Sus scrofa: one gene and its partners. The protein of the gene in region 1 binds, or shares a complex with, the protein of each later gene. Links are inferred from orthologs where the notes say so. Each region holds a gene or a part of one and is shown in the gene's direction. Other genes may lie near its edges.

Region 1 (8,021 bases):
ATGGGAACAATTAGATAAATATTTTAGTGTCACTTAAACATTTATATAAAACAGCAACTTTTGTTTTTGTAGCAGTTGGTATGAGAACCCAAAAGTTATGTTCATAATTGTTATACAGAGTAACTTTACTTTTTGTATATTACCACGAGAGTAAGAAAAAGACAATTTTAAAGAGGCTGAGTAGGCAATGGTTTTTGTTTTGTCTTCTTTTCTTTTTTGGCTGCCCTACAGCCTATGGAGTTCTTGGGCCAAGGATCATATTCTAAGCTGCAGTTGCTACCTGAGCCGCAGCTGCATCAATGCCAGATCCTTAACCCACTGTGCCGGGCTGGGGTTCGAACCCTGCATGCCTGTGCTCCCAAGGTGCAACCGATCCCATTGTGCTATAGTGGGAACTCTAAGTGGGCGGCGGGTTTTAACTGGGGATACCTTTTGCCTCCAGTGAACATTTGGCAACATTTATAGACATTTTTTATTGTCAAAACTTGAAGGCGGCGGGTGTAGGTTGGTCACTGCTGACTTCTGATGGGTAGACATCAAGGATTACTGCTCACAGAGTTCCCATTGTGGCTCAGCGGTAACAAACCCAACTAAGTATCCATGACGATGTTGGTTTGATCCCTGGCCCTGCTCAGTGGGTTAAGGATCTCGCGTTGCGGTGAGCTTTGATGTAGGTCGCAGAAACGGCTCAGATCTGGCATTACTGTGGCTGTGGATTAGGCATTGGCTGTGGAGTAGGCTGGCTGCTGCAGTTCCAATTCGACCCCTAGCCTCGGATCCTCCATATGCTTCAATTGTGGCCCAAAAAATAATTTTAAAGGATTACTGCTCAACCATTTTACAATTCATTAGGATATCCCCTTTTGATGAGGAATTGTTGGGCTTACAGTGTCAGTGATGCTAAAATTGAGGAACTCTGGGGAGAGGGATTGCAAAAGACTTACTCAAACTGAAAAATGTCTTGTGGCCAGTAAACATAGGTAAAAAATCACTCGCTAGCAATCAATAAAAGACAAATTAAAGTGTTTTTCTACTGTTAAACATTTAAGTGTTTTGAAAGCATGCAGTTTTCAAAATAGGTTTTTCTATATTGACAGCACTGTAAATTGATGGAGTGTTTCTCAGGGACTTTTGAAATATGTATCTAAAATGTTTATATTTTGTACTTTTGACTTGGTAATTCCACTTGATTGGAATCTGTCCAAGATAATAAACAGATGCCTATGTTGGAAATTAAGATAACTCTGGCTCAGGTTGTCAGTGAGACATGTGGACAAGGAGAAATTTCGACAAGGCTCTTTACTTCGGCAGAAGGGCACGGGTACTCCAAAAAGCATGCACTCAGAACAAAGGACTCTCCCTTATTTATCCCTAACACAGGTGATTTACCTGTCCCCTTCCCATTGGTCAGGTCAGGGCGCACACTCTTCCCGGTTGGCCTGAAACAAATTGTTGCTGGGAAAAGAGGTAAAGAAGAAAGGGGTCGTAGGGGGTGTTTCAGCCGAAACCAGAGCAAAATGGAGTAACCAAGATTTCCTTTGATAGAAAAGACATGTTACTTTCCACACCTACAAAGTTTGTTACTGGGATTTTAACCATAGTTATTTTTAACTGTAATGTGCTGGAAGCAAACCTAGATTCTTTTAAAAAATAAATATTGGTGAAAAAATGGAGTAAAAATGTACTTTAGTAATGATTACTGGGCACATTATGGACAGTTTTCATTTTGTTTCTGTCTTTCTGTGTTATATAAATTTTTCCAGTGACTATCCTATTTATGGAATCAGAAGAAGGGAAGACAGACCAGACGTCTTTTTAATTTTTAAACTCTAGTAAAATTTTGTAGTAGTTTTGTCATTTCTCAAAATATTTATTGAAAAGTCTGTGCATATAGCAAGTTCCCATTTATGCGTGGGCCTGTTTCTGGGCTGTCTCTTCCACTGATATATTTTAATATTTGCTCAATAAAGTATAATATATATACTTTGTAATTAGGCAAAAGGAATGCTCTTTAGATTGGGCCCCACTCGTAGAGGTTTTCTGAACTAGTAATTTGTATTTTTATAGTTCATGAAAATGTCATGATTTTGTGTAAGCAGTTGTGTTCTTATTTTTGCTCTTCTTTCGCTCATGTAATTCAATATTTAGATTAAATATACTTGTCTTTGTTTGCTTCATTCAGAAAGTTAAGGCTGAATTCTTTGACACTTTGTGTCCTGATTCAAAGTCTGTCACTGTGTGTCAATGACTGCCCATTAAATTTCCTTTGTTTTCTTTCATTTGTCTTTTTCCATATTCCCCTTTGCTTACAAGTGGTACAGTATGTGCTGTTCCTTGGAGGTAATTACAGCACTCCCATGTTCTCTTTTGTTAGCTTTCCACACAGATTTTGGGTGGAAACAGGCTAAATAGGGAGTAATCTTAGTAGAATTTGGAACTGTAAGAGGCAGCAAGTTAGGATGTGACTTGATACTTCCCCCTAAAATGTTCTAGAACTGGCTAGGAAATAACAGTTGGATTTTGCTCTTGAACCTGTGAAAAAATACCTTTAACCTGAGCATTGTCAGGGAAATATGTTCGTTTTAGTATAGACTTGTGAGTTCCTTTGGAAGAAAAAGGTCATTGTGGTGTTGGTAGGAGGATATATTTATCTGAGTTGTTTTGCCTTTCTAGAGGAAAAGCTGCATAAAGGGAAAGTGGAAGGGAAAGAGAAGAAGAGGGAGTTGAAGTTACTTAAAAAAATTAATGGATAATGAATTTCATTAAATACTTAATTCTAGCCAAGTAGATTTAAATTCTGAGTATGTATTTTATCTTGGGAGGAAATTTTTATGTGAAAGAATTGATTCTCAAGTTGAATATGTGTTTATGTTTCATGAGCATCTGTTTAGAGTAATTTATTTTCATTTGAAAAATAAGGGTTTTTTTGTTTGTTTTTTAGCTTTTTATGCAATGAGTACATTACTAGGAAAATTATTTTTGTTGCCAAATTTTTAGTTGATTTATTCATGGCGTGGTTTTGTGCTCAAATTACATAATTTCCAGTGATGCATTTTCTGCTTTTGTTTTTATCAGATGGTTGTGTTGCATCAAAATGCATTCTTCCATTTTTTCCACACGTATTTTTTCTATTGTATATGGCACAGTAACTTTTGAATTGCATCTCAGATCTGATTTAGGATAACTTTACCTGATACATTCGAAACTTAAAATACAAGTTGTACGTAATTGATTTTATGGCATTTAATTCCTGACTGATCTAGAGTCTTTGATGCTCCTCATAGTTTTGCTTTACCTACTAGTTTCCTTCACTTCTCCTCTCCCTATTCCTATTAATATGTTGTTGATGTTTGGATGTCATGGGTAGATTTGCCAACAGTTAATGGGAAGATGGGTTAGAAAACTGTGTGTGTATGGAAATTCTAATTCGTGAAACAGGTTATGACTAAGTGGGTGATTGTTAAAACTACAGGAAGAATTCTTAATTTAAGAAATGAAAAGTTTAAGACTCCTATTTCAGTAACCTTACCTGGTGTGTTTAAGTATTAGTTAAATGTCTGTAGGGAGTGTAGTGAAATTTAAAGATTAAATTTTAGTAATCACTGACAGTAGTATAGTACACAGAAATTAATATTAGGCAAGTCAAAAATTACAATGTGCCACCTCCTGATTGTTAAACCTCAAATTCTCCTTCCCAGAAAAAAACTTGGGAAAGGAGGGAAAAGGTAATCATATAAATAGCTTTAAATAATGACCCTGAATGAATTTTTTAAATAATAATAAAATTTACCTGCCATGTAATTCACTCATTTAACAGAGTGGAGTTGTCAGGTTACATATCAGCTCTGTTTAACTTTTTGAGAAGCTGCCAAGCTAAACTTTTCCAAAATGGCTACACCATTTTGCATTTCCATCCATGTATAGGTTTCCACTTGACCTTCATCCTCTCTAGCACTTGTTATTGTATTGTCTATCATTTTTATTATAACAGCCTTAGTGGGTGAGAAATGCTATCTTGTGATTTTGATGAGTACTGGCTAATAATGTTAAGAATCTTTGTGTGCTTATTGGCTATTTATCTGTCTTCTGAAACTCTGCAACTCATTAAACAATAACCTCTTACCCATTCCTTTTCCAAGCCCCTGACAAATGCCCTTCTGCTGTCTCTCTGAATTTGACTATTCTAGATTACCTCTGACAAGTGGAATCAAAATATTTATTCTTTTGTGTCTGGTTTACTTCGAGGGTTTAGCATAATGTATTCAAGATTCTTTGTTGTAGTATGTGTCAGAATTTCCTTCTTTAAGGCCGTATTTCATTTTACATATATATTGTACATTTTGTTTATACATTTGGGTAGTTCCTACCGTTGCGTATAAGTGAATTTCGTGCGATTGAGTTTCTGTTTTCACATTTTTGGAGTGTCCAGAAATGGAATTGCTGAATCATTCGGTAAATTCTTTAATTTTTTTTTTTTTTTTTTTTTTTTTTTTTTTTTTTAAGGAGGACCCACCATACTGTTTTCCGTAGTGTCCTCACCATTTTATATTCCCACAAGCAATGAATAAGGGTTTCTTTACATACTACTGGGCAGTGGTTGTTATTTTATGTGTGTGTTTAAAATAGTTAATGTAATGGATGTGAATGAAGTTCTATCTTCCTGTGATTTTGATGTTCATTTCCCAAATGATTAACATTTAATCTTTCCATTTGCTTGTTGGCCATTTGTAGATCTTTAAAGAAATGCCTGTTAATATACTTTGCCCGTTTTTATATAAGTTGGTTTGGTTTTTTGCTGATGAGTTGTGGGAGTTCTATATATATCCTGAATATTTACACTCTACCAGATGGATGATTTGCAGATAGTTTCTCCCATTCTGTGGGTTGCCTTTTCACTCTTTCTGATAGTGTCCCTTTGATGCACAAGGTTTTTTTTTGTTTGTTTTGTTTGTTTTTATGACCACACCTGAAGCATATGGAAGTTCCCAGGCTAGGGGCTCAATTGGAGCTGCAGCTGAGGCCAGCCATGGCAACACTGGATCCAAGCCACACAAGAAGGTAATCACTACCAGTATTGTTTGGTATTGCTGCCTTGATTTGTGCAAGTATCGTCCGTTTTACTCACTGCTGTTTTTGCACCAATCATCGTTGCAGATGTCAACTCAGTGAATAAGTTATCTCTATTCTTAGGGAGATAGCTTTGACCTCTTGGGCCACACTTAGAGAATTGCTGCCTTAGTTTATAGGGTTGCTGGATGGAATGGAAGAGTGACTATGGAGTAGTAGTCTTATCTTGCCTGAGTAGTCTCTTGTCTAAGATGTTTGGAGAAATGGTTGCCATTCCTCACTCTTGTATTTCCTGTAATTTAGGCTATTCAGGCTGGTATCAGCATAAAATTTCCTTATATTAGTGGTAGAATGTGAGGGGACCGGGATAAAAAGATGTTAAATTCATGAATAGATATGGAATGTACATAATGTATTATGTATTTTTACTTTGCAAGATACATTTTGGATAGAACCCTATGATAAATACTTTTTAAATGACAAAATATTTAAAAAATTAGTTGAAAGCAAAAGAAAAAGGAGAAATTAAAGGGTTTTTTTTTTGGTACTTATCAGATACAAGACAAGAAATATTTACTAGTCTTATAAGCATTATGGCTTGGATGATAACAACTTGAGGTATGGAGTCATTCTGATTTGTCCAGTTAAAATTATCACTGTAAAGTTGGCCTAGTTTCTAGTAACCTACTTTAAAATGGGGGCAGTAACACCTCCCTGGTTAGGTTTTTATGAGGAACAGAGTCAAAATAATGTTTTAAAAATGTGAAGAATGGGACTTAGACAATAAGCTTTAATTGAGAAATAGTTAATTTTAAAGATTTTAAGCTGAGATTTAGATTTTGTTTGGGTCGGGAGTAGGGAGAATTTAGAAGGAACCAAGTTGGAGTGTGTGAGTCATATTGATCAGGCCTGGTACAGGATACTGAAGAAACACACTCCCACTACTCCTTGTCCAAATCTTAAGCTGTATTTGTGCTTTGTGTTCAAGCTACATGGTATTACATTTTCAAAATTTTTTACTTATAGGATTCAGTGGTCCCAATTTAAAGGCTATTTTATTTTCAAACTGGAGAAAGTGATGGATGATTTCAGAACTTCAGCTCCTGAACCAAGAGGTCCTCCTAACCCTAATGTCGAATATATTCCTTTTGATGAAATGAAGGAAAGAATACTGAAAATTGTCACTGGATTTAATGGGTATGCATTTAATTCTACTTTTAAAGGTTTAATTTTTAGCTGAACAGTGATTGTTCTCTTAGTTCTGATGTGTCTGGTTCTTTAATAACTGATTATCCATTAGAATAAATTCTGTCTCTTGTGGTATATATAGTAGTTACTGATTTCCAGCTTACATATATTTAAAATAGTTACACCTTTTTTTTTTGAAACTCGAATCATCTTTATATGGTTTTGTGGCATTTTAGATTTTAAATGTGTATGACAGTGGAAATGATATCAGGAAATATTTAAAAATTTTTCTTTCCATTTTTTACTTAATGTTATAAATTTTTATACTTTGTCTAGAACCTGTTTAACATTGAGATAAGTAACATTTCTTTTAAAATGAAAAATAACAATTTATGGAAGAATTCAGCTTAGTGACTTTTTATTTTAAAATATTTTTTGGAGTCCTTTTTTTCCCCTCAGTAAGTAACCATTTTAGCCCTTTGTAAAACATGGCTCTGGAAAGTTACTCTTCACTGAAATGAAACTGACCTTTAAATGGCTGTGTGTCATACTCTATGTTGTTTTAAATATTTCTCTTTTTAGGACTTTGTATTTTTACGGTTTCCTTCATTGAAGGAACGAAGTATTTGTAAAGTTGAATTGTTCAGTATTTAGATTGTTATTAACAATTTGGGTGGTGACAATACCTAATCTGATGTATTGTGTCTATGTTAACCATGAATTCATATTTACGGTCAATTTTTATTTGAAGGGATTTCATTTGTATTTTTAGGTAGCATAAATGCTTTTGTTTTTTTCTTCAGATACTTAATGACATGGGATTTTGCAACAAGATAGTGTAATTCAGATAACCTTTTTGCTGTATGTACTGTTCCCCACTTTTAAGTTTGTTTGGTTTAAAATATCAAATCCTTAAGCTTTGGTTTTAGGTATTGTTGCCAAAATACTTTTCTTTTGGGAGAAATTAAAGCTTTATCTTTGAGCTGCCCTTGGGGATTTGGAATTGGAGGGAGACTTACTTTCACTGTCTACCCTGTTGTATTATTGAACATCATTTAATTGTATGCATATATTTACTTATAAGTACTAATTTTTTTTTAAAGCCCATACCCAGATGAAGCCACATGCTATGTATTAGAAATATGTAAGATTTACTGTTGAAATGAATGTGCCTAAGAGTACCTCTTGGGTGTTTTTTTAAGGGCCTCACCTGAGGCACATAGATGTTCCCAGGCTAGGGACTGAATCGGAGCTGTAGCTGCTGGCCTGCACCACAGCCACAGCAACGCTAAGCTGCCTCTGCCACCTACACCATAGTTCAGGGCAGCACTGGATCCTTAACCCACTGAGGGAGGCCAGGGATTGAACCCGCTTCCTCATGGATACTAGTCACATTTGTTTCTGCTGAGCCACTATGGGAACTCCGGGGATATTGTTAAATAGTGCAGAAGCAGATAGGTAGTACTTAGATATTATAGGAACTCATCTTTTATTTCAATGAATTATGGCTATCATTTTAAAATAAGAGTTACAGTGAAACAGGTCAGATTATACCACTACTTTGTGAGTGTGAAGCTACTTTACTTGTTCTGAATTAGTAATACTGTTTTCACTTCTTTCAAATTAAGCTGGATGAAACACAGATATATGGGTATTAAATAAATTAAATATTTGTAATTTCTTAATTTCTGAAACAGGTTATTGACCTACCTTTGAAAATGACTTGGTCATTAACTGCCTAAGCATAATTAAACATAGTTGCTTTT
Region 2 (8,021 bases), on another chromosome or scaffold:
CATATGCTGTGGGTGTGGCCCTAGAAAAACAAAACAAAACAAAACAACAACAAAAAAAAGTGGTGCAATACCTGATGAGTTCCTAGTTCCCTAAGAGAGTATATGAATATGGAACTAGTCCATTGATCAAAAAATTTTTTTCCATCAAAAATATTTTGAGAAGTTCCCGTCAGTGGTTAACGAATCTGACTAGGAACCATGAGGTTGTAGCTTTGGTCCCTGGCCTTGCTCAGTGGGTTAAGGATCTGACGTTGCTGTGAGGTGTGGTGTAGGTCGCAGACTCGGCTTGGATCCCACGTTGCTGTGGCTCTGGTGGCTACAGATCAGGTTAAACCCCTAGCCTGGGAACCTCCATATGCCACAGGAGCAGCCCGTGAAAAGGCAAAAAAAAAAAGACAAAAAATATTTTGAGTTTACTTTGCCATCTTTCAGATTCAGTTTTTAAGCTCCTTTTCTGTAGACCATAAGTGCATGTCTTTTTTGTAGGCAACTTTAGAATATTTACCATAAGTAAATAGCAGTAATGGCCCTATATTATTACGTAGTAACTTGTTAGTGGTACATACTGTGGTTCATGATACAGAAACTAATACAGGCCTAATTCTTGTGTGGCATTGTTTATACTATTGAAATTAAAATGAAAAATGAGGCTGAAGACCTGTTAAATTTCTTCACAATACTTTCTTCAGTGTTGCTTTTATTTATAATTTCTAACCATTTATTTAAATTTTGTTTCCAATTATGTTTTTATTGCACTTTGCTTTCTCTCTTTTTAATTTTTATTTTCAATTGAAATGTTGAACAAAGGTTTTACATTTATTTTAGGAATTTTCACTCCAGATCAACACTTGAGATTTTTGGAGTTTTATAAGAAACTTTGTACATTGGGTTTGCAACAAGAAAATGGACACAATGAAAACCAGATTTCACCCCAAATCTTAGAGCAGGAGAAGAAATATATTTCAGTACGGAAGAACTGTGCTTATAACTTTCCGGTAATAAAGTATATATTTGTATTGGATAAACATTTTGATTATAACTTAGAAATATGTGAATAGATAGCATTAAAAATATTTGACACTTAGTACTTGGCATTATATCTGGTGTACCTACTCCGTAGGTGCTGAGTAAATGTTGGTATAATTTGTATGAATCTCTAGGTATACATTGGAATTTATGCATGCCCTTGAATCTTCTGGATATGATTTCTAACTAAATTATTCAGAGGACATGGTTTCAGTTTAAGTGAAACGATGATGCTATTAGGTATTGATGCATGTTTTCCTCTCCTTCCTCTCATCTCCCTGCCACTTGCCCAGGCCATGATTGTTTTTGTGGATCCTAAAAACTTCCACATGGAACTCTATTCTACATTCTTCTGCCTTTGCCACGACCCCGAAGTACCAGTCAGATACACTATCGCTATTTGCTTTTATGAAGTAAGTCTGAAAAAGTGATACCACTTTACATTTGTTGTTAGTTGTTGTTATGTCTACCTATGTATAGAAGATGGTTTTTTGATGTTTCGTTCATTTCTGTTTACAGGTTAAAAGATATAGGCTCCATATCTCTTTCATATTCTAGTCCTAAATTTAAAATCATTCCCATCATTCTGTTTAGAATGTTTTCAGAATTCATTTACATGGATTATATTCATTTATCATGTATTAATTCATTCAGTATATCTCTACTAAGCCAGACATGGTGTGGATGTGGCTGTTGTTGCAGATTTGGACGTAAAACAAGTTTTAATATGCTTTATCATGTTTATATTTAACTTTGCACCTAAACTTAGGAACTTGAAACAAATGGAAAATTGAGAGGGAGATTGTTTATTTAAATTTACAGTTTTTACAGCAAACGGATCACGAGCATAGCCTTTCGATTCAGCTGTTACAACTGTCCATAGTGTGAGAGCAAAAGTGAATTTAAATTTTATGATGAATGTAATTAACTTTTTAACTCCCGAGGCTGAAATTCGGGGCCTGTTTCTTGAGTGATTGCAGTTAAGTTACATGTATGCTGTAATTGCAGTCAACATGTATGCTGTAATTGCAGTCAACATGTATGAACTATAACTTGTCAACTTCAAGACTGTCACATAAAAATATCTAAGTGGCTTAATAAAATATTTCCTTCCTTTATAAGGTATGTTAAATATTCTTATTCTCAGTAAGAATATTTCATCCCCTTCCCTGTGCTGTGTTCCTACATCACAGCACTGTTAGGTTAGCAGCATTAGAAATGTTGCTTAAGACACTTTTGGCTGTTGGCTGATAGTCTTTGCTTCTTTTGAATAACATTTTTTCTGGTGCGAGTGAAATGACATTATTCATTGTGCAAAATCTTGGAAATAGTCCCTTTAAATGGTATAATTAATTAAAATAATTCAGGGTTGAACAGTTACGTCACCTTTGTAAATATATGTATAAGAATGTGCTTTTGGAGGAGGAGAGGCCAGAGGACACTGGCTGGCTGAGTGAACTGCGTCTCTCCTTTATGTATTGAGCAGGCATTTAGGCTTGGTTACCATGCATGCTTGTATTTGTCTAGACCAGTGGTCGCCAGAGCTGGTTGCACGAGATAGAGTATGAGAAAGCAATATTTATGCAATATGAGTTTCTATTTGTGGTCATTTTTATCTCGTCCTTTTATTGTTATGTTTTATATTGGACATAATATGTTAGCACCATAGAAATAAACATATTGAAATATGTATACAAAAATATTTCACTAATAGAAATGAGTTTGGAAATCATCAATCTAGCTATTTTCTGCATGGCTAGTTTCTGTATTCTTATGTATTCTTACGTATTATCCTACCATGTAGGTAGGTTAAAATGATACTTTACTCCGTAAATGAATGGTTAGGTTAGGTTTGTCCTTTTAAATAATGAAAATACACTGGTTGATTTAAATGTCCCAGGGTTATTGGTAGATTCTGATACTTACTTTAGTATATTCTGAGTTTATTCTTTTTTTTTTTTTTAGAAAAAAAAATATATTGTGAAAATACTTTCAAGTCAAAACAATCCTGTAGAACAAAGGTTTTTAAAATACCTTATTTACCTTAGGACCCCCTTTTTCAAATAAACCTTACTCAGAAACTCAGTATGTAAAAAAATATATATATGTATTTAAAGTAACTGGTGAATGTACCATTGTATATTCGTTACCATTGCTTATCTGGAGGACACAAAACAAACAAAGACAATAAACAGTTCACAAAAAACAGTTCACAAAGGAGCTGGATTAGGCTGGACCCTCCCCACTCCTCTCTTGCTCCTTGAAGTCCTTGATGGGAGAAGTCTTAGATGTTTTGCTTGCTTGGGAGTTTTCTCTATCCCTGTGTGGCTGCTGGCCTGCCGTAGAACTTGCCCTCTCTGGAGCTCTGCACTGGGATGAATGCTTATGTGGCTGGGCTTCTTTATAAGACTCCGGTGGCTGCTCTAAGACTTTAAAATATGAATTAGAGGCATCCATGGGCTTATTATCGCTTGTGATAGGAAAGTGATGACTGGCTAACCGCCCCCCGACTCCCGCCCTCTGCACTCTTCCCACCCTCTGTGTCCACAGACCCCAACATGTCAGGAAGCAGACTAAAAAGCTGGTTATTCTTCTAGAAATCGAATTTTACATTATGTTGTAACCAAATCTTATCTTAGAAGAAAATTTAATAGAGATTATTTTTTTCATCGTTATTATAACCTTCATATGTCTAGTAGTCTCAACTCTGAGAGACTTTATTGCTGTATTTTAGGTGTCTAAACTTCTGAATTCTGGAGTATATTTAATACATAAAGAACTAATAACATTATTACAAGATGAATCACTGGAGGTAATATCTTCTTACTCTGGCTTTTACTTCTTTTATGTTATGTCTGAATATATCAGTGCCATTTTCCTTTTTTTCTTTCTTTCTTTTTTTTTGGGGGGGAATTGCATGAACTCTAAGAGCTGACTAGCCCCAGAAGCTTGAAATCAATGTACCACTTTATCATAGACTGGAAATAGGGAAGATATTTTTTAAATACTAGGTTTAACATATATTTATATATTTGTTAAGGAAAATTTTAGAAATGCCAAAAAGTAGACACACAAAAGAGTGCCTTTAGTTCTAATCACTGTTTATATTTTTATATTTTTTCATTTTCTATCTTTTCTATATAAAGTTTTTTAAAATTTTACACAATTTTAATCATATATCATATTTTATGTGTTTTTATTTCTTTTAGCATTGTTCGGGAAGTATGTTTCTGGAGGCTTTGAACTGGAAAGTTCCTAGGCCAGGGGTTGAATTGAAGTTGCAGCTGCAGGCCTAACCCACACCCACAGCAACGCCAGATCCGAGCTGCATCTGAGACCTACACCATAGCTTGCAGCAACGCCAGGTCCTTAACCCACTGAGTGAGGCCACGGATAAACCCACGTCCTCACAGATGCTATATCAGGTTCTTGACATGCTGGGTCACAATGGGAACTCCTGAAATACTTAATTTTTTTTTTTTGTCTTTTTGCCATTTCTTGGGCCGCTCCCGTGGCATATGGAGGTTCCCAGGCTAGGGGTCTAATGGGAGCTGTAGCCGCCGGCCTATACCAGAGCCACAGCAACACGGGATCCAAGCCGCATCTGCAACCTACACCACAGCTCACGGCAACGCCGGATCGTTAACCCACTGAGCAAGGGCAGGGTTCCAAGTTGGATTCATTAACCACTGCGCCACGACGGGAACTCCTGAAATACTTAATTTTGATGCTATTTTTAGTATATCATGTTTACCTAAATGCCTACTCACTTGCCAAATCTCAACGCTTCAACATTAGACATCATTGAGGGTGTCATCTGACTTCAACTGCTTTTCAAAAGTTGGGAGGCATTTTTGAGGTTGTTGTTTGACACTCTTTGAATAATATCAAGAGGCAGACACACTAATCTCCTTTCAAAGGTGGTTTGATCAAGGGTAGTATGTTTCTAAGACTTTCCAGCAAGAAGATGATAGAGCAAGAAAACAGAAACCCCCAAAATGCCGTTTGGTAAATAACACTACTTCTCTGTAGAAATTGACATGTAAAGTTAGTTAATTGATCTAAGATTAGGGAAACATAGCCATCACAAGAAGGGTAATCAATATCTCTATTAAAAGGTACTAGATGCTCTCATAGATCATCTTCCAGAAATTCTGGAACTTATGTCCACTGGTGGAGAAAGCAGTGTTCAAGAAAATAAGGTAAATCCTATCTATCAAAAAAGTTTCTGGATGTCATATGGTTACCTTACTTTACAGAGTTGTTGTGAGAAATCAGTGGAAAGAATGGTATGAAAACCATTTAAGATCGTGCTTAGTACATAGTAAAAGGTGGTTGGTAAATGTCTATTGGAGTTTGAACAGCTTGAATTTCCTCTATTTTTCTCACGTTAATGACCACAATCATTACTTATTGTCCCTCGGGTTTATTCTCATTATTTTTCCATTTTTATTAGCATTAATTCTTATTCCAAGAGCAGCAACCCATGAGGACAAAAAGTTAGGAATTGAGAAGGTCCAAGTTTGCTGACAGTGAAATAGCAAAGTTTACTTTAATTAGAGGGATTGTGACTCCCAGTCTCCTTCAAAATTTTGTTTCCAGTAATCACAAATTTTACCTGTAGGTTGTTTTTTTTTTAAAGTATTTGATTTCACTAAACGATTACCTCCCTGTTACAACTGAGATGCCTCCTAAGTTCAGAAATGAGCAAGAGCTTTTCCCTCGCCAGTGTGTTTAAGAGTGAAGAGTCTGGCTGAGTGCTGCAGCTGACTTACTTAATTATCTTGGATTCTCTTGATGTGTTTTCGTCTTCAGTTATCATCCCTGCCTGACTTGATTCCGGCTCTCACAGCAGCTGAGCAGCGAGCTGCAGCCTCTTTGAAGTGGAGAACTCATGAGAAGCTGCTCCAGAAATATGCCTGTCTCCCACACGTCATATCAAGTGATCAGATTTATTATCGTTTCTTGCAGAGAATGTTCACAATCATGATGACAAATGTGAGCCCAATACCTTTTATCTGATTTTTCTCTTGAACTGTTTTGGAATTAAGCAAATTCTCCACTGTCTTGAAGTACAGCAACGAACTCCGTTCATGCCCTTCTGCCTTGGAGGAGTGTTAGCTTTGCTGCTCCTTCTGATCAGCTTCCACCTGGAGGCGGGGAGGGAGAGGTGCACAGGGAGGGTGTCAACACGCTTCAGTGCGGGGGAGAGATGGGCGGGAGGCAGTGATCTCAAGTGCAGGGTGCCTTCTGTTCTGATGTGCACATTTCATGGTCATGGCTCAGCGAGGCCCTTTTGCCTTAGGGGTATCCCTTCAAGCCCCTTAATGTTAGTTTGGTTTAGTATCGTTCCTAAACAGTAGCTGGTAACAGAAAAGTTATACAAAAATGTGAATGCCCAACTATGGATAACCTCAAAATTAAAATCAAAAGCAGGGGGGTGGGGAGAAAAGACTTGTACTCAAATGTCCCCATAGAGTCAGTTGTCTACTTTTTTCATAAAAATTTCCAGAGGATTGTTTAACCTGCACTTCACTGTACACTGAATATGGCATCCTGCTACCATTTTTTGAAATATAAGAGTTCTGCATAATGTGTGTGTTTTAGCGACTATTAATAATGAAATATACGATCCATCTCAAAAACTCAAAATCAGTTTTAGCTTCAAAGATTAAAAGGAGAAAAAATGACATTACAGGTGTGACAACTTTAAAAAAAAGAAAAAGCACCTATCTTATGAATTAACACCTCTTCATGAAGTTTGTTTCATGCATCAAAGCAAAGCCTGGGGCTTGGAAGTTATTTTATAGATGAAATAATCTTAAAATAGTATTGACAAAAATAACTTTCTTAACAGAGGATAACGCGTGACTGTACCACATAAAAATTTTCACGTGAAAGTAGAATTTCTTATTTTACTCAGCAGTTGGTTATTTGAGTGTCTGCTGTGTGTCAGGCACTGTCCTAAGAGCTGGGGATGTAGGAATACACGAGACAGAATCCTACTCTAATGGACCTTGGCTTTAAAGTGGTGGTGGTGTGGGAAGTGATAAATAGGAAAATGGAATTAATAGAGTAAGTGGTGGTGATAAGTGCTATGAAATTTTATCTTAATTGTTTGCCTCAAGCTAATTACTTAGTAGGCATCTTTGTGTTTAGAAAGCTAAGAATGCATAATTATTCCATATTTTTAGCCTTTCTTATTAGGAAAGAGAAATGGTTTACACCACAGTGTGAACAAAATACTTTTAAGGCTGAGAGATTTGCTTTGTTTTCTTTTTTCTTTCTTTTCTTTTTTTGTCTTTTTAGGGCCACACTGGAGGCATATGACTTTCCCAGACTAGGGGTTGAATCGGAACAGTAGCCACTGGCCTATACCAGAGCCACAGCAACACCGGATCCTTAACCTACTGAGCAAGGCCAGGGATGGAACCTGCATCCTCATGGATGCTAGTCAGATTCATTTCCGCTGAGCCAAGAGGGGACCTCCTGCTTCATGTTTTCTTTTACAAGGAGGCTGTCCCACACTTAAAAGGACACACATGATTTGCTATAGCACGTTTTCCATCATCAAAAAACATGTATCCTGTTTCGATATTCTCTGGAAAAAAGATTTATGTTTTCAGTCTCGTATCTGAAGGTCATAATATTCATTCAGTCATTCATTTAACAAAACTTATTGAGCACTTAACTAGATGCCAAGTGCTATTCTGGATGCAGAGAACATAGTAATCAGTGGAAGAGATAAAGGACCAGTTCTCATGGAACTTTGAATTCTTTTTTTTTTGTCTTTTGTCTTTTTGGTGGTTGTTGTTGTTATTGTTGCTATTTTGGCGCTCCACGGCATATGGAGTTCCAGGCTAGGGTCAATCGGAGCTGTAGCACGGCCTACGCAGAGCCACAGCAACGCGGATCCGAGCCACGTCTGCAACCTACACACAGCTCACGCAACGCTGGATCGTTAACCACTGAGCAAGGCAGGACCGAACCCGCAA
Region 3 (8,518 bases), on another chromosome or scaffold:
CATCATGCAGATAGGATCTTGGCCAGTGGCTGCAGAGAGCTGTAGCTGGGGCTCTGGGATAGGAGGCCTCACAGCTCCCCGGTCCTTCACCCCACAGAATGGCATTGTGCCCATCGTGGAGCCCGAGATCCTCCCCGATGGGGACCATGACTTGAAACGCTGTCAGTATGTAACCGAGAAGGTAGGGTGCCTGTCTACCTGGCCAGTGGGGTGGGCTGGGGAGCTGGGCCCAGGGCCCCGAGTCTGACCCCTGTCCCCCGACTCCACCTCCCTCTCCCTCTGGTCCCCCACTGCTCTAGGTGCTGGCTGCTGTCTACAAGGCTCTGAGCGACCACCACATCTACCTGGAAGGCACCTTGCTGAAGCCCAATATGGTAACCCCAGGCCACGCCTGCACCCAGAAATATTCTCACGAGGAGATTGCCATGGCAACTGTCACGGCGCTGCGCCGCACAGTGCCCCCCGCTGTCCCTGGTGAGACCCACACCCTCATCTTGACCTCTGGGAGGTCGAGGAACTCGACCCCTCGTCCCTGTGTTCACGCGGTCGGATTCCCAGCCCAGCGTCTAGGGCCTCTGCCAGCCCCCTGGGTCTCTGACCACAGCCCTCCCCTTGGTCTGCAGGGATCACCTTCCTCTCCGGAGGCCAGAGCGAGGAGGAGGCCTCCATCAACCTCAACGCCATCAACAAGTGCCCCCTGCTGAAGCCGTGGGCCCTGACCTTCTCTTACGGCCGAGCCCTGCAGGCCTCGGCCCTGAAGGCCTGGGGCGGAAAGAAGGAAAACCTGAAGGCCGCCCAGGAAGAATATGTCAAGCGAGCCCTGGTAAGGCTGGGGCAGGAGGTGGGCAGGGCGCTGGGCTGGACAGGGTTCAGAGAAGGGACCTTCTTCTCACTCTGGTTCCTCTCCCCTCTTAGGCCAACAGCCTTGCCTGCCAAGGAAAGTACACCCCGAGCGGTAAGGCGGGGGCTGCCGCCAGCGAGTCCCTCTTCATCTCTAACCATGCCTACTAAGCGGGGAGGTGCTGAGGCTGCCCCCTCAACACGCCAGGCCCCGCCCCCTCCCACCCTCCCTCTCCAAGAGAGGGGGCCTCGGGGGCTCCAGGCCGCCCTTTCCCAACACTTTTGCCTCCCTCGTGACACTGGTGCCTGGTGTTGTCTGTATACGCTAACTCCATCACCCTCTCGAGCCTACTGCCAATAAACAGCCATTGAAGGGGGAGTGTGGTGACCTTGTCTGTGGTGTTTGGGGCAGGGGAGGGCTGGCAGAGGTGGCAGAAGACACAGCCCTTGCTTTATGTTCCTCTGGCTGGGGCAGAAAACCAGGAGATGGGATAGCATATACTCTGTTCAATACCTGCCCAGGGCTTCAAGAGAAGAGCTTGGGAATTTTCTTCCCACCACCAAGTGCTCTGCTTCTTCCACCGGCAGCCCCTGATACAAGGCTTCCAGGTGGGGAGTGCACGTGTAACTGCTGGTCTTAGGAGGCTGCAGCTTTAGCCTCAGTTTTAGGCCCAGAACCCACAGGTACAGAGAAGGGGGGCCCTGTGACCAAAAAAACAGCCACTGACAAAAACTAAGATTTCCTGAATCTGCAAGGCAGGCTTAACATAAGCATCCAATAGGAGTAGGTGCTGTCACTCCCAATTCGTCCTTAAGGTGATCGCGCCAGAGATCCTAACTGTCTCTTGGTGAAAACGAGGTTATGAATGCATTTCTCCTTAATCTACCTCACTGCTGACCTGTGAGTCTTCCCATCTTAATAGGAGATGGGATTAGAACTGGCTTCTTAGACTCTGGGCTGTGGAATCCCTTGAAGAATCTGGAATTGGGAGTCTCCCGGTGGCTCAGCGGATTAAGGACCCAGCGTTGTCACTGCTGTGGTGTGGGTTCAGTCCCTGGCTGGGAGGTTCCGCCTGCCACAGATGAGGCCAAAAACCAAAAAAACAAAACCCTGGAATCTTTCCACACACCCTCCTCAACAATGCACATCCACACTCGAGCTGATTCCCAGTTGAGAACTGAACCTCTGTGGCTCCTGCATTCCATGAAGTCAGAATGAGGGCCCTGTGCCATGAGTTGAACCCTTCCCATTTCCCCAGGCTGGGGGAATATTAAAGATCCTTGTCATAACCAGGGGCCTACCTAGTCCTGCCACCTCCCAAATCTCCTAAAATGGACCCTTTCCTGCTGAGATCCGCTGGAGAGAGAGGAAAAACAACATGATTTCTGTACCTACTGAATCCCTATAGTCATCTGCATAGAAACCTGGAAACTTCTAGGAGTTTAAGAACTTGGTTTTTCCTTCTCTCTGTACATTCCCATTTGTTGCCTACATCCAGAACCAAATTTTTACCTAGTGCCTCTCCAAACTATGGTCTCACTTCTGCACCTAGCCTCACTCAATTCCGTGAAACAAAGTCTGAAGCAAACAGAAATAGAGGCTCTAGGAGTTCCATTATGGCACAGTGGTTAAAGAATCCGACTGGGAACCATGGGGTTGTGGGTTCCATCCCTGGCCTTGCTCAGTGGGTTGAGGATCCGGCGTTGCCATGAGCTGTGGTGTAGGTCGCAGACGCAGCTCCGATCCTGCATTGCTGTGGTTCTGGCGTGGCCGGTGGCTACAGCTCCAGTTAGACGCCTAGCCTGGGAATCTCCATATGCCACAGGAGCGGCCCTAAAAAAGGCAAAAAGACTAGGAAAAAAAAGAAAAGAAAAAGAGAGGGCCCATAGAAGACAATAAAAGACATTCCAAAAGGGCTCTGACACCAAGAGGTTTGTTTCAAGACAAATCGCTTCCTCTGCCTGCAGCAAGAGACTAAAGAAGCAGAGGACTTTAAATGTCAGTTTGGAGTGTTTTATAAAGTTTATAATGACAAAGTGAGCATCAGAAAGTGTGACAGAAGAGACCAGACCTTGAGGACACAGCTTTCCTAGGTTAAAACATCAACCTTGACCCAAGCCCAGAATTATTAGCTATGTAACTGTGGAAGTTAATCTCTTTTAGCCAGTTTCCTTTTTTTGTTGTTGTTTTTTTGAGGGCTGCACCCACAGCATATGGAAGTTCCTAGGCTAGGGACTGAATCTGCCTGCCACAGCCACAGCCACACAAGATCTGAGCTGCGTCTGCAATCTAGCAACCTGCATCACAGCTCACAGCAAGAGAGATCCTTAACCCACTGAGCGAGGCCAGGGATGGAACCCTTCACCTCATGCATACTAGTCGGGTTCCGTACCCCTGAGCCACAACCGGAACACCAGTTTCCTCCTTCTTTTTAAAGGAATAAAACTGCAGACAAGAGCAGGGGTGAGGGGTGTCAAAGAGACCTTTCTGGAACCAGGGAAGTCAGGTTGACTGAGGTATAAGCTTGTTGTGGGGAAGGTGGACTCCTTTCTGACTCTAACTTCAGAGGTCCTCCATCGGAGAGATGTCTCTTGGGCCTTGGAAAGAGATTTGGACTGGGAGTCTTTCGCCCATCCAACAAAGAGTTCTGTATGCCAACTGTGCCAGGCCATGTTCTAAGTGAGAACTGGGGCTGCAAGTGTGAACAGGACAAAATTCCATCTCTCAGGGACTGTAATGGGGGAGGCCGACTAAAACAGGTAAACAGAAACGTGTACGCTGAAGTTACAACGCGGAACGCCGACTCAGTTCCAGTTTCCTTCACTGACACGGTAATGTGGAGCGGATGTGGAGTCCGTCACCGCCCTCACAGCGCCAATCCGCTCAGCCCACAATCACTTCCGCTCGCACATTGCAGACATCCGGTTCTTCCGGCTCATTTGCATTCCTAGGCTTGAGGGGGTGGGGTAAGGGCGCGGCTTGGGAGGGGGGCGTGTGTATGACGCCACATCCGGCGCGCGGCGGAACTGGTGTTCCTCTGCTTCCGCGGCGGGGCCGGAAGTAGAAGCGGAGGTGGCGGCGGCCCAAAGCGGAGGGAAAGAGGAAGACAGGGAGCACGAAAACCGGAGCCGGAGTCGCTGCGTCGGTAATAGTCGGAGACCCTTCTAGGCCACCGTCCCTGGCGCGGGACCTCAGGGTTCGACGGGAGTTAGCGGAGGGCGGCCCGGGCTGTGGGACGCTGGGGGCCCCGGGGCCTATGTGAGGGGAGGCGGGAGTTGGGGGGGCCGGGCCAGCTCCAGAACCGAGTTGCCCCCCCCGACCCGGCGCCCCTTAAGGACACTGATCCGCGGCTTCTCCTTGGCCTTTCCCAGGAGACCCCTGTGCGGTGCGGAGGGGGCTACGGCCCCGGCTCTGACCCGCTCCGGGGCGGGTGGGCCATGGCGGAGATCAGCGATCTGGACCGGCAGATCGAGCAGCTGCGGCGCTGCGAGCTCATCAAGGAGAGCGAAGTCAAGGCCCTGTGCGCAAAGGCCAGGTGAGCCCGGGAAGAGAGGCTTCAGCCACTGATCAGAGGCCGGAAGCTTGGGGCAAATCCAGCTGAGAACTTTGGGCCTGGCTCATCCTGGAAGCTTTCCCAGAGAGGAGCGAATAGGGCCACTTCCCTCGAGGAGCAGCCGGGCCTGTTGGGGGAAGACAGACCTGGATTCAAATATCTGAAGTATTAGATGATGTGTTTTCAGTGGAGTTGGAATTACAGAAAGTACTTAGGAAGCTTAGGGAAACAACCTTGTCTGTCTGGGGGGGAACAGAGAACGTTTCTTGGAGGAACTGAACTTTGGGTTAGGCCTTGAAGAATAAGATGATAAAAGGGAATGTCAGCAAGAAGATTTGGTTTACAGTATTCTTTTTTTTTTTTTGGCTTTTTAGGGCCGCACCTGTGGCACTTAGAGGTTCCCAGGCTAGGGGCTGAATCAGAGCTTCAGCTGCTGGCCTACGCCACCAGCCACAGCAATAGCAATGAGGGATCCTTAACCCACTGAGTGAGTCCAGGGATCAAACCCACAACATCTTGGCTCCTAGTCGAATTTGTTTCCGCTGTGCCACAACGGGAACTCCTACAGTATTGTTTTAATCCCAGTAACAACCCAAAAAGGTGTGTGGAATTGTCTTCATCTCACAGGTGAGGATGCTTACATTCAGGAGTAAGGGGTAAAGCCTGAAGCGAGTTCTCCATGTCCTGTCCATTTTCAGGCCATCATGCAAGAAAGTGGAGTTGGATCACACTCATACTCCTTGTGGGAGCCTATGAAATAGAAGCAGATAAGCCAGAGTAGAATTAAGCAAGATCTGAAGGGAAGCCTAGCTTAGAGTTCTGTGGGAAGTAGGATGATGTAGTGGTTAAGAGCCAGGCTTTGGAATGTGGCTCTAGGTTGGAATCAGCTCTGCCACTTCCTAGCTGTGTTGGTGATCTTGAGGTCTGTGAGACTCGGGTTCTTCCTATTTAAAGTGGGGATTCTAGAACTTAATGAGGTGGCTGTGAAGAGTAAGGGATGCGCTTAGCATAGGCTTTGGTAAACTGTAAGTGCTCGATGTTTGTTGGGTGTTACTGTTCTTCCTTTGTAGGAAGAGGGCAGTGCTGATGTGGACTGAAGTCCTTAGTGAAGGCTTGAAAGAGAAGTTGGCCTGGAAAGATGGATAATTTGGGCAGCTGAGTGGGCAGGCCTAGTAGGAAGGGCATTCCAAGCAGGCTGAGAATAGGAGTGGAAGGTGTTCCCTGGGGGCTCAGCGGGATCCAGCATTGTCACTGCTGCAGCTCAGGTTACAGCTGTGGCACTGGTTCAATCCCTGACCCAGAAACTTCTACCTGCCAAAGGCATGGCCAAAAAAAAAAAAAAAAAAAAAAGTGGAGCTCTGGGTTGTGTGGGCAGTGGTGACAAGACGACAAGACCCATTACCTGCCTCCTGAGGAACTATTTGTGGTTTCCACCACGCTGGAGAATTGCAGAAACAGAGCCAGCAGAATTACCCCCACATTTGTGACCAATAGGCCACTGTTAGCACCTGAAAGAACTTTATATCCACTTCCTTCCCACAGCAATGCTGTGAGGTTGGAAATATTTGCCCCATTTTACAGAGCAGGAAGCTGTGACGTCTTGAAGCCTGGGGACTTGACCAAGGCTTCCCCGCAAGAAGGTGGCAGAGCTGGCTGGCCGTTGGGCTCTTTGCTTGGCTTTGCCCCACACAGACCTGTCACAGCCACACAGGGCCTGCATGGGTTTGGTGAACAGGCAAGGCTCCCTTTTAAACGCTGTTCTGTGGCTCTTCATGTTTTGCCAGCTCAAAAATATTTCCTTGACCAGACCAGCCCCAAGATGTTTTTAGTCATCCCTCAATCTCTCTCTGTTTGTTTGTTTGGGTTTTTTTTGTCGTTGTTTTTTTAGGTCCGTACCCATGGCATATGGAGGTTCCCAGGCTAGGGGTCCAATCAGAGCTACAGCTGCCGGCCTACATCACAGCCACAGCAACTGGGGATCCGAGCCGCATCTGCAACCTACACCACAGTTCATGGCAACACCGGATCCTTAACCCACTGAGCGAGGCCAGGGATCGAACCCGAATCATCATGGATACTAGCTGGGTTTGTTGGCACTGAGCCACAATGGGAACTCCCATCCCTCAGTCTTGATTGGCATTTTTAGGAACTTAAACCCATTTCTGGCTGGCACTCTTCTTTTCCTCAAAGTCTTCTGCCTCCCACAGGGCCTGGATCAGTGTGGTGGTGATGACAGCTAATGCTTGGGTAGCATAGTGGAATTTTCAGAATAGCAGAAGTTAGGTGTTCAGCCTCCATTGCTTTTTGCAGCCTGTGGAACAGGCAGGCAGTGGTGAGTGTTTCACAGAAGAGGAAACTGAGCCTCAGAGAAGAGGTCTTGCCCCCGGTCTTACAGCTCCTTGGAGGGGAGGCTGGTTTTGGATTCAGGTCTTTGACTGGACTCCACACTCACTGACAGCCAGGTAGACATTTAGACTGTGAGAGGCAGCAGGGAGCTACTGAGGGATGTGGGGTCCTGCCCAGATGAAAGCGAGGTGGAGCTTGGAGGTCCAAGCCTCAGGCCTGGGGTGGCCACTGCTGTTCCAGGCCCAGTCTGGAGGAGGACCAACTCTAGCACCTGGCAGTAGGTCTAGCACCTGGGGACCCACCAGGGGCCAGGCTGAGGCTGGTAGTGTCAGTCACTTCAGCTTGCTCAGACGTCATGGAGACTCAGGTCCTTGGAATCACAGAGGCCCAAAGCACATGAGCTCAACTTGCTCCTATTGAAAACATCACATCAAGAGTTCCTGTCATGGCTCAGTGGTCACAAACTCGACTAGCATCCGTGAGGATGCGGGTTCGATCCCTGGTCTCACTCAGTGGGTTAAGGATCCGGCGTTGCCATGAGCTGTGGTGTAGGTTACAGACGTTGCTGTGATCCTGTGTGGCTGTGGCTGTGGTGTAGGCTGGCAGCTGCAGCTCTGATTTGACCCCTGGCCTGGGAACTTCTGTATGCCGCAGGCATAGCCCTAAAAAGCAAAATCAAACGAAATCACATCACATAGCAGAGGGTTTTGAATCAGGTGTTTTTCAGTAGGAATCCTGTGTTGTCACCTATAAACAGTGTGACCTGAGTCAGGTCACTGTACCTCTTCAAGTCTTTGAAATCCTTACAGAGCTCAGATGAGCTTCTGCATATGCAGGCCCAGGGCCTGGTGCCCTGGCCCAAGCAGATTCCTGCCCCACCTCCCGCCTCAGGCCCTCCCCAGGCTCCTTGTCCCTGTTGCACTGATTCCGAAGCCACTGGCCTGCTGCCACACACACGGGATATGTGTAATCTAGCTCCCTCCTGCTGGGCGGCGTTGTGGAGTGAAGGGTGAGCCCTGGGCACTGGTGATGTGCCACCAGTGACAGGGTTGGGGACCTGGAGTCTGGAAGGGACTGGTACAAAATCTTAGGATACTAGGTCCCTGAGCTCCAGTTCAGCCACGCTTCCGCTTTGTCACCTTGATCCTGCCCCTTCTATTCTAAACCTCGGTTTCTTCTGCAGTTGGAGAGGTCATTGTGAGAAGCGGGTGTGGGAGTTTCCTATGTGGCTCGGCAGGACACGAACCCCACTAGTACCCACGAGGCTGTGGGTTCGATCTCTGGTCTCACTCAGTGGGTTAAGGATCTGGCGTTGCCATGAGCTGCGGTGTCGGTCTCAGACATGGCTGATCCTGTGTGGCTGTGGCTGTGGTGTAGGCTGGCAGTTGCAGCTCTGATTCACCCCTAGCCAGGGAACCTCCATATGCCGAGGGCATGGCGCTAAAAAGAAAAATAAACAAATCGTTGGTGTGGAAGGATGTCGAGCACAAGATGCGTTGCAGGTTGGAGAGCCTGGTTGCTGTTGGCCCCTCGGGCCCCCACCAGCGCCTCCTGCCATTCCGGGAAGCCCAGGCACGCCTTCCTGGAGCCACTTTTGTCATACGAGGCACCCCGAGCCCAGGGAGCTGCTGGCCTTATGGGAGAGGACTGGGAGAGGAGGGAGGGCTGAGCGGGTGCCTCCCACGTCAGACTAGCTTGATAAGGGCCAGACCTCGCGCAGGCTGCTTGGTTCGAGTCCCGCTTCTGTCACTGCAGAAGGTCTTTCCATCTGCGCGGTG
Region 4 (8,021 bases), on another chromosome or scaffold:
ACAAGACTTTTAATTAACACTACAGATCACTATTACAAAGCCTTTCGTAAATAAAATTCGAGAATTAAGAATTAAGAGAATTTGTTTTTAATGGTGAGGAATTAGTTTATTGGCTGTGGTGATGCCTGTTATACAAATTGATCTGAAGCAAGTAAAACTCTTTACTTACCTTTAAAGCAGAAAAGATCTTTAAAATATCAGAATTTTTATATTTTGTATACCTGATGGTCATTATGTTATTTAAAAGAATTCTGACTTGGAGTTCCCGTTGTAGCTCAGCAGTCTAAGAACCCAACTAGTATCCAAGAGGATACAGGTTCTATCCCTGTCCTCCCTCAGTGGGTGAAGGATCCAGCATTGCCATGAGCTATAGTAGAGGTCACAGACATTGCTCAGATCCCATGTTGCTGTGGCGTAGGCCAGCAGCTGCAGCTTTGATTCAACCCTTAGCCTGGGAACTTCTATACGCCACAAGTACAGCCCTGAAAAAATAAAAATAAAAAGAATGCTGATTTATAACTTACATGATATTCCACAAAATTTTTGTGTCTGGTTTTCTTGAAAAATGAAATAGCTGGACTAGATGATGTCCATTATTTTTTTCTATTCTGTTAGGCTATGATTCCATAATTTCTTCACAGCTTGATATTTTCTTGCTCAAGATATTTATAATAGATGTGTGTAATTACCCACATAAGCTCTTGACATACACTAAATTTTTTTTTTTTTTTTGTCTTTTTGTCCTTTTTAGGGCCGCACCCACAGCATATGGAGATTCCCAGGCTAGGGGTCCAATCGGAGCTGTAGCTGCGTGCCTGTTCCACAGCCACAGCAACGTCGGATCTGAGCTGCATATGCAACCTACACCACAGCTCACAGCAACGCCAGATCCTTAACCCACTGAGCGAGGCAGGGATCGAACCCACAACCTCTTGGTTCCTAGGCAGATTTGCTAACCACTGAGCCACGACGGGAACTCTCGACATATATTAAATTTTGATGTTCAAGAAGCACTTTTAAATCATTCCATGAATGTATAAACCAAAGCCTCTTGAGGAAGAACAAAGCTGATGTATTTCAGTAAGCGTTTCATGGAGATGATGATTTGATGTAAGGAAGATTATTGTTTAAAAATCTTGATATAATTTTCAGTTGATTTTCAAACAGCCAAAAACATCCTTGCTTTAAAGATATTTTTATTTTTATTTATTTATTTATTGTCTTTCTGTCTTTTCTAGGACCGCACCCGCGGCATGTGGAGGTTCCCAGACTAGGGGTCTAATCGGAGCTGTTGCCGCCGGCCTACACCAGATCCGAGCAATGTCTGCAACCTATACCACAGCTCACGGCAACACCAGATCCTTAACCCACTGAGCGAGGCCAGGGATCAAACCTGCAACCTCATGGTTCCTAGTCGGATTCGTTAACCACTGAGCCACAATGGGAACTCCAAAGATATTTTTAAAGAAGGCATTTTAATTTTTCTTGGGAAATTTGTCGTACCCCACTTTAAGCAAAAAGTTTAAGGTATTTCCTCTTTCCTATGGAGTGGATTCTTTTATAGATCCATTAATAATAATGACAGCACATGTTCAGAAAACATTACCAAGAATATCTCAATGCAGTGAGGGTTTTATTACCATGTTTATAGATTTTTATTGAGTCTTTTTTCCTCTTAACATTATTAAATATTTTATATAGGAGCCTTAGAACATATCTATTTATGGAGTTCCCATCATGGCTGTGTGGTTAATGAACCCGACTAGTATCCATAAGGACACAGGTTTGATCCCTGGCCTTGCTCAGTGCGTTAAGGATCCAGTGTTGTTGTGAGCTGTGGTATAGGTTGCAGATGCGACTCAGATCCCATGTGGCTGTGACTGTGGCATGGGCTGGCACCTGCAGCTGCAATTTGACCCCTAGCCTGGGAACCTCTATATGCCGCTGGTGCGGCCTTCAAAAAGACAAAAAAAAAAAAAAAAAAGGAAAGACAATGTCTATTTGGTGGGTAAAACTGCTAATACTTCTAGAGAGTCTACCTAATGAAAAAATTAAAATTTGTAGCTTCTTGATATAAAAATAGAGAGGAAATACAATTTTACTTTTGCTCTGAAAGATAGGATATATGCTTCATTCTCATTGTTTAGATGTATTGCGATGTTTATTTTCATATGATGACTTTCTTTGTAGATAATTATCAAACAGCACAGCTGCTTGCCTTAATTTTAGAGCTACTCACATTTTGTGTGGAACATCACACATATCACATAAAAAACTATATTATGAACAAAGACTTGCTAAGAAGAGTCTTGGTCTTGATGAATTCAAAGCACACCTTCTTGGCCTTGTGTAAGTAACAATTTAAATGTACACTCTTGTAAAATGTTTTGTGGAACAACATTTTTAATAGAAAGAGAAACCTAAGTTACCCATGTAAGTATTTTTTTATAGCAGTGCATATACTGTTAAAGAGGTGATTGTGAGAAGTACTAATATTTTGTTTTATTTAAAGGACAAGTGGTCATAGTGTTTTACCACTCACATATTGTTAACATTTAGATTCAGTTAGCTTAACTGTTTTGATATAATACCATGTGCAATGACATCTCTAATAGAACCACTCCTGCTGTCTTTTATAACTGCTTCATCAAATTGCCATTTATATTTTTGAGATATGGGTCTTGAAATGTATATGTGGTAACTCAGGTTATTTATTTGAACTTATGGGGACCACTTGGACCACTGAAAATCAAACTTAAATGCTGATATTTGCTCACGTGTTGATTTTTTGCAGACTATAAACTTATTCTTCATAATTTCACCTGCTGATTAGAGATAAACCTTCTCTTTCCAAATTAAAAAAAAAAAAAAAGCTTTGTGGGGTTTTTTCTGAGCATAAAAATCATAATTACAAATTTAAACATTTAATGTATAGAAAAAAAATTAGTCTCCCTACTACTTCCTATATTTTTAAGGCCTTACGGTAGCTGTTCTTAACTGCCTGTATATTTCTTTTCATTTTTCCATACCTATACAGATTTACATATGTGTAGATAGAAACAGGATCAGAACACACAAATCTCAGCCCCTGAATAGTACTTGAAGTTGTTGGATACAATGTGAAGTAACATTTTTAATATTTTTCTTAAACATAGCTGAGCAACATTTTTTAAGTTAATTTTTATTTTATATTCTAATATAGTTGTCCCCCCCCCTTAATGACAAACCCCATTCTGATTTTGAGCTGCATTCACTGCATTGTCTGTGCATCCACCAGCACTACTCTAAGGAGTACCAGCATTTGCATTGTATGGTTTTGGGGTATTTTTTAATCTCTTCCTTGGAACTGTCAGCCTACCAATTATTGGGAGTTTTGTTAGCTCTCTACATAAGTGTACAAGTTTTGAGTGGTCTTTCTGTAATTCCGTTTATCTCAAAGCCTAGTACAGTTTGGCTTTTACTTTAGAAGAACATAAACATTGCTTTTTGTAAAAATACCTGTGTAATAATTAATATTGGTGGGATTATCAACTAATTCCTTATGGTATTTTTAATTAGGTGCTCTTCGTTTTATGAGGCGGATAATTGGCCTTAAAGATGAATTTTATAATCGTTACATCACCAAGGGAAATCTTTTTGAGCCAGTTATAAATGCTCTTCTGGATAATGGAACTCGGTACAATCTCTTGAATTCAGCTGTTATTGAGTTATTTGAATTTATAAGAGTGGTAAGTTTATATTAAAAGATTCTTAGTAAATTAAAATAATTATATGTTTAGTGATATTAATATTTTATTTTTATTTTTTGACTTTTTAGGGCCGCACTCACGGCATATGGAAGTTGCCAGGTTAGGTGTCAAATCAGAGCTATTACTGCTAGCCTACACCACAGCTACAGCAACACCAAATCCAAGCCACGTCTGCAGCACACACCACAGCTCACAGCAATGCCGGATTCTTAACCCGCTGAGTGAGGCCAGGGATTGAACCCATGTCCTGTGGATACTAATTGGATTTGTTACTGCTGAGCCATGAAGGAAATATGTTAATTGTGAAATTCAGCATAATATTTTAAACCATATTTATTTTACTCTATATTCTTTTCAGTTTCATTTGTTTTGGCCAAAAGTTTTAGGGTATTTAGCATATGTGACCATGGCAGTCAAGCATGCCATTCATGTGATCACTGTGTCCTGTCATAAGGGTAATCCGTTAGGAACCATGAGGTTGCTGGCCTACACCACAGCCACAGCTCCAATTGGATTCCTAGCCTGGGAACCTCCATATGCCATGTGTGTGGCCCTTAAAAAAGACAAAAAAAAAAAAATGAATAGAGGAGTTCACCTTGTGGCTCAGCAGAAATGAACCCAACTAGTATCTATGAGGATAGATAGATTGACTAGTATCTATGAGGATAGATAGATCGATAGATAGATAGATAGATACTTCGACTCCTGGCCTGGGAACCTCCATATGCAACATGTGTGGCCCTGAAAAGACAAAAAAAAAAAAAAAAAAAAAACAATTGAGTAGAAAGGTTGAAAAATAATTCCCTTGGTAGACATTGATACAAGATGCATAAGAGGGTAGGATGTTATCATGGAATTTGAAGTTAAAGAGACCAGGAAGTTAGGTAGACTATTCCGGCTGCCTTATTTCATTCATGAAGGGTTTGAGACACCCAGAGTGGTTTTGGCTGACCTATTCAAGGGCATTCATTTGGTTGGGAGCACAGTCAGGCCTGAATGCTAAGGTACAGCTCAGTCTCAGACAACAGAAGATTTATCATAAAAAGATCTGGAGAGAGCTCTATATGAATAACAGGGATAAGACAAATAACTGAAGAACCAGTACAGTAAATTTACCCTCTCCCACATGCTGAAATGATTCCACTGGGGGACATGGCCACATGGTTTAAAAAGAACTTGAAAAAAAAGGTCAAAACTAGAAATTCATTGTCTAGTTTTCTTTCTTAGAAATCAGATTTGTACTGATGAATGACGCTATTCTCTTGCAAAGGTTATTTGGCTGACTGGATTGTTTTTTGTTTTTTTGGTTTTTTTTAAAGTAGTCATTTGCTAAGAGTATGGTTTGCAAAAAGGATGACGAGGATAGAAGTACTAGCCTTAGCCTTAGAAAAAAAAAGCAACATAGTTAACAAGTTCACCAAGTGTTTGAACCCAGGTTCACAGTGTATTATTCTATAAGTTAAAGATGAACTTATATATTTTTTTTCCCTTTAAAAATCTTGGTGAGATGCTGATAAAATGAATTTTAGGGTTCACAGCCCCATCCCTAATTTTTGATTGAATTTGTTTTTCTGAAAATAACTTTGAGTGATTGATAAATGTACATTGAATCCAAAAACTCAGTTTATCTGTTTGTGTTTCAGTTTACAACACACAACCATTTTACCTAGGTTTCTAATTTTTCTCCTTTGCGTATTTTTTGATTGAGGTGTGCTGAGGAACTAGTTTAAAGACGTGTAAGTCGTCACTGCAGCCAGATATGGTCTTTCTCTTAAAGAAGTGATGTGTATATTTCTTACTAATATTAAATCCTAAAAATCAGAGCTTAATTATTTTTAATAATGAGCTAGCTTTGTACCCATGCATCTGCAGTGATCACTTAAAATGGTTCATTTAGAATAATTTAGAAGTTATTACTTTTGGTTTAGTTCACAAAAATGATACCACTAGAGAACTGTAAAAACATACGAGAGAAGTTCAAATTATTTTATCTCATACATATGTGTCTACAGTGTGCTGCAGTTGGAGGAATCTGTTTTTTAGGTAAGGCATATCCCGTTTTGATAGTGGAACGAAGTCATTTAGTAATACCTTTCAGTGTTCACTGAGAATATGATTTCAACATGTCCTTCCTAAGTAGCCATGCAGTCTTCATCAAGCCATCCATTCTTTCTTATAGCCTCAATTTTCTCATTCTGTAAAATGGGGAGAATAAAACCTATCTCATAGAGTTGTTATGAGGATCAAGTAAAAATGTTTTAAAGTGGGTTTTTGTTTTTTGGGTTTTTTTTTTTTTTTGTCTTTTAGGGCTGCACCCGTAGCATATGGAGGTTCCCAGGCTAGGAGTCCAGTTGGAACTGTAGCCTCAGGCATACTCCAGAGCCACAGCAATCCAGGATCCAAGCTGCATCTGCGACTTACACCATATCTCATGACAGTGCTAGATCCTTAACCCACTGAGCAAGTCCAGAGATCAAACCCACGTCCTCATGGATGCAAGTCAGGTTCACTAACTGCTGAGCCACTATGGGAACTCCTAAAGTGCTTTTTTTCAATTAATTATTTTTTTGGCCTTTTTAGGGCTACATCCATGGCATATGGAGGTTCCCCAGCTACAGGTCGAATTGGAGCTGTAGCCGCTGGCCTCCACTGTAGTCACAGCAATGCCAGATCCGAGCTGCATCTGCGACCTTACACCACAGCTCACAGCAACACTAGATCCTTGACCCACTTAGGGAGGCCGGGGATCAAACCTGTGTCCTCATGGATACTAGTCAGATTTGTTTCTGCTAAACCACGACGGGAATTCCTTAGAGTGCTATTTAAATTGTAAAGTGCTATTATGTAAATGCAAAAAATAGGTGACATAAACTAAATCCATTTACTTTTCAAATATTCTTTATAGTCCCAAAAGGGCTTCAGTCAATTGCTTCTCCTTTTTTCCAAGTTTACTGTGTGGTCCTGGCTCATTGTATACAGAAACTAGGGTATTTATTTTTGGAAGGTGATTCTGAAAAACCTTTTTTGCAAAAGGTTTGAAACTATAAAAGTTTTTTTTAAGTTTTTCTTCTAAGAAGCATTGTATTACATGTGAAATATAAATTTTGTGCTTATACAGGAAGATATCAAGTCTCTTACTGCACATATAGTTGAAAACTTTTATAAAGCACTTGAATCGATTGAATATGTTCAGACATTCAAAGGATTGAAGACTAAATATGAGCAAGAAAAAGACAGACAAAATCAGAAACTGAACAGGTAATGTTTATTTATAGCCTGTAAAATTGTGTCCAAAATCATGTGTAATTTGATCTTACCTATGAAATTTACCCAGGACATTTCTTTGCATCATTAGTTAGAACAGGGTTGTGTAGGAGGGTAGGATATTCTCCCTGCCCTGAATTTTTATGTGAAAAATTACTGCTCCATATCATTACTCAAGATAAATTTTTGAATTAATGTACAAACATCCTTGGACTATTCTCTGGTTACATCTTATATCACAAGTGAGCTGATTATGATATGTTATACTCAGTTAAAATTACTTCAGCCCCTCTTGGTTATACATATTTTTTCTCAAATTTAATCTGGTCAGGAATTTTAAATCATACTCAATATTTGTAATATATTTCTTACAGTGTACCATCTATATTGCGTAGTAACAGATTTCGCAGAGATGCAAAGACCTTGGAAGAGGATGAAGAAATGTGGTTTAATGAAGATGAAGAGGAGGAAGGAAAACCAGTTGTGGCATCAGTGGAAAAATCTAAACCTGAAGATGATTTTCCAGATAGTTACGAAAAATTCATGGAGACGAAAAAAGGTATTAAAATTTTGAATTTTTGATTAGTACATTCTCTTATTTAGTGCAGAAATTATGCATTTGCTTATGAAGTTGTGATTATAGTTTATAAAGCATGAAAGACATGAATTTTTTGCTAAATTAAACCTTTTAAATTATATAGTTTTTTCAAAACATTTTATGTTCAAAATGTTTTTCTTAAGACTTGACATTTTGTGATTTTCTTCATTCGCTATTCCAAATTGCATTGTCTTTTTATACTTTGCCTTCTGTGAACAGTCTTTGCTTTATTTCTGTACCAAAATCTTCAATACTAATAGAGATCATATTGATTCATAGAAACTCCAGAGCACTCTGTAATTTATAGCTAAGGAAAACTAAGCTTCAAAGAAGTACTTTGCTGTTTGAAATTTTTAAATTGTTTCATAAAGATAAAATAATCCTGAGAAAAGTAAAAGTAAAATTTCCTG

What was found.
Region 2: PPP4R2 (region 1) and PPP4R4 share a complex: the UniProt entries of both Homo sapiens proteins name them as parts of the PP4 complex. The link is inferred for Sus scrofa from reciprocal best matches to the Homo sapiens genes PPP4R2 and PPP4R4.
Region 3: PPP4R2 (region 1) and PPP4C share a complex: the UniProt entries of both Homo sapiens proteins name them as parts of the PP4 complex. The link is inferred for Sus scrofa from reciprocal best matches to the Homo sapiens genes PPP4R2 and PPP4C.
Region 4: PPP4R2 (region 1) and PPP4R3B share a complex: the UniProt entries of both Homo sapiens proteins name them as parts of the PP4 complex. The link is inferred for Sus scrofa from reciprocal best matches to the Homo sapiens genes PPP4R2 and PPP4R3B.

Annotation. Positions count from the first base shown.
Region 1 is NC_010455.5:54,353,141-54,361,161, forward strand, and holds part of PPP4R2 (serine/threonine-protein phosphatase 4 regulatory subunit 2), read left to right. Parts: intron 1-6,093; coding exon 6,094-6,264; intron 6,265-8,021. UniProt on the Homo sapiens protein: Regulatory subunit of serine/threonine-protein phosphatase 4 (PP4). May regulate the activity of PPP4C at centrosomal microtubule organizing centers.
Region 2 is NC_010449.5:115,487,122-115,495,142, forward strand, and holds part of PPP4R4 (serine/threonine-protein phosphatase 4 regulatory subunit 4), read left to right. Parts: intron 1-825; coding exon 826-995; intron 996-1,319; coding exon 1,320-1,439; intron 1,440-3,760; coding exon 3,761-3,838; intron 3,839-5,144; coding exon 5,145-5,228; intron 5,229-5,841; coding exon 5,842-6,024; intron 6,025-8,021. UniProt on the Homo sapiens protein: Putative regulatory subunit of serine/threonine-protein phosphatase 4.
Region 3 is NC_010445.4:18,258,949-18,267,466, forward strand, and holds the start of PPP4C (serine/threonine-protein phosphatase 4 catalytic subunit), read left to right. Parts: upstream 1-3,868; 5' UTR 3,869-3,986; intron 3,987-4,212; 5' UTR 4,213-4,278; coding exon 4,279-4,376; intron 4,377-8,518. Other genes in the region: ALDOA (fructose-bisphosphate aldolase A), read left to right, coding at 98-181, 300-474, 624-823, 916-1,011. UniProt on the Homo sapiens protein: Protein phosphatase that is involved in many processes such as microtubule organization at centrosomes, maturation of spliceosomal snRNPs, apoptosis, DNA repair, tumor necrosis factor (TNF)-alpha signaling, activation of c-Jun N-terminal kinase MAPK8, regulation of histone acetylation, DNA damage checkpoint signaling, NF-kappa-B activation and cell migration.
Region 4 is NC_010445.4:85,692,897-85,700,917, forward strand, and holds part of PPP4R3B (serine/threonine-protein phosphatase 4 regulatory subunit 3B), read left to right. Parts: intron 1-2,190; coding exon 2,191-2,349; intron 2,350-3,558; coding exon 3,559-3,728; intron 3,729-6,867; coding exon 6,868-7,007; intron 7,008-7,387; coding exon 7,388-7,572; intron 7,573-8,021. UniProt on the Homo sapiens protein: Regulatory subunit of serine/threonine-protein phosphatase 4 (PP4). May regulate the activity of PPP4C at centrosomal microtubule organizing centers.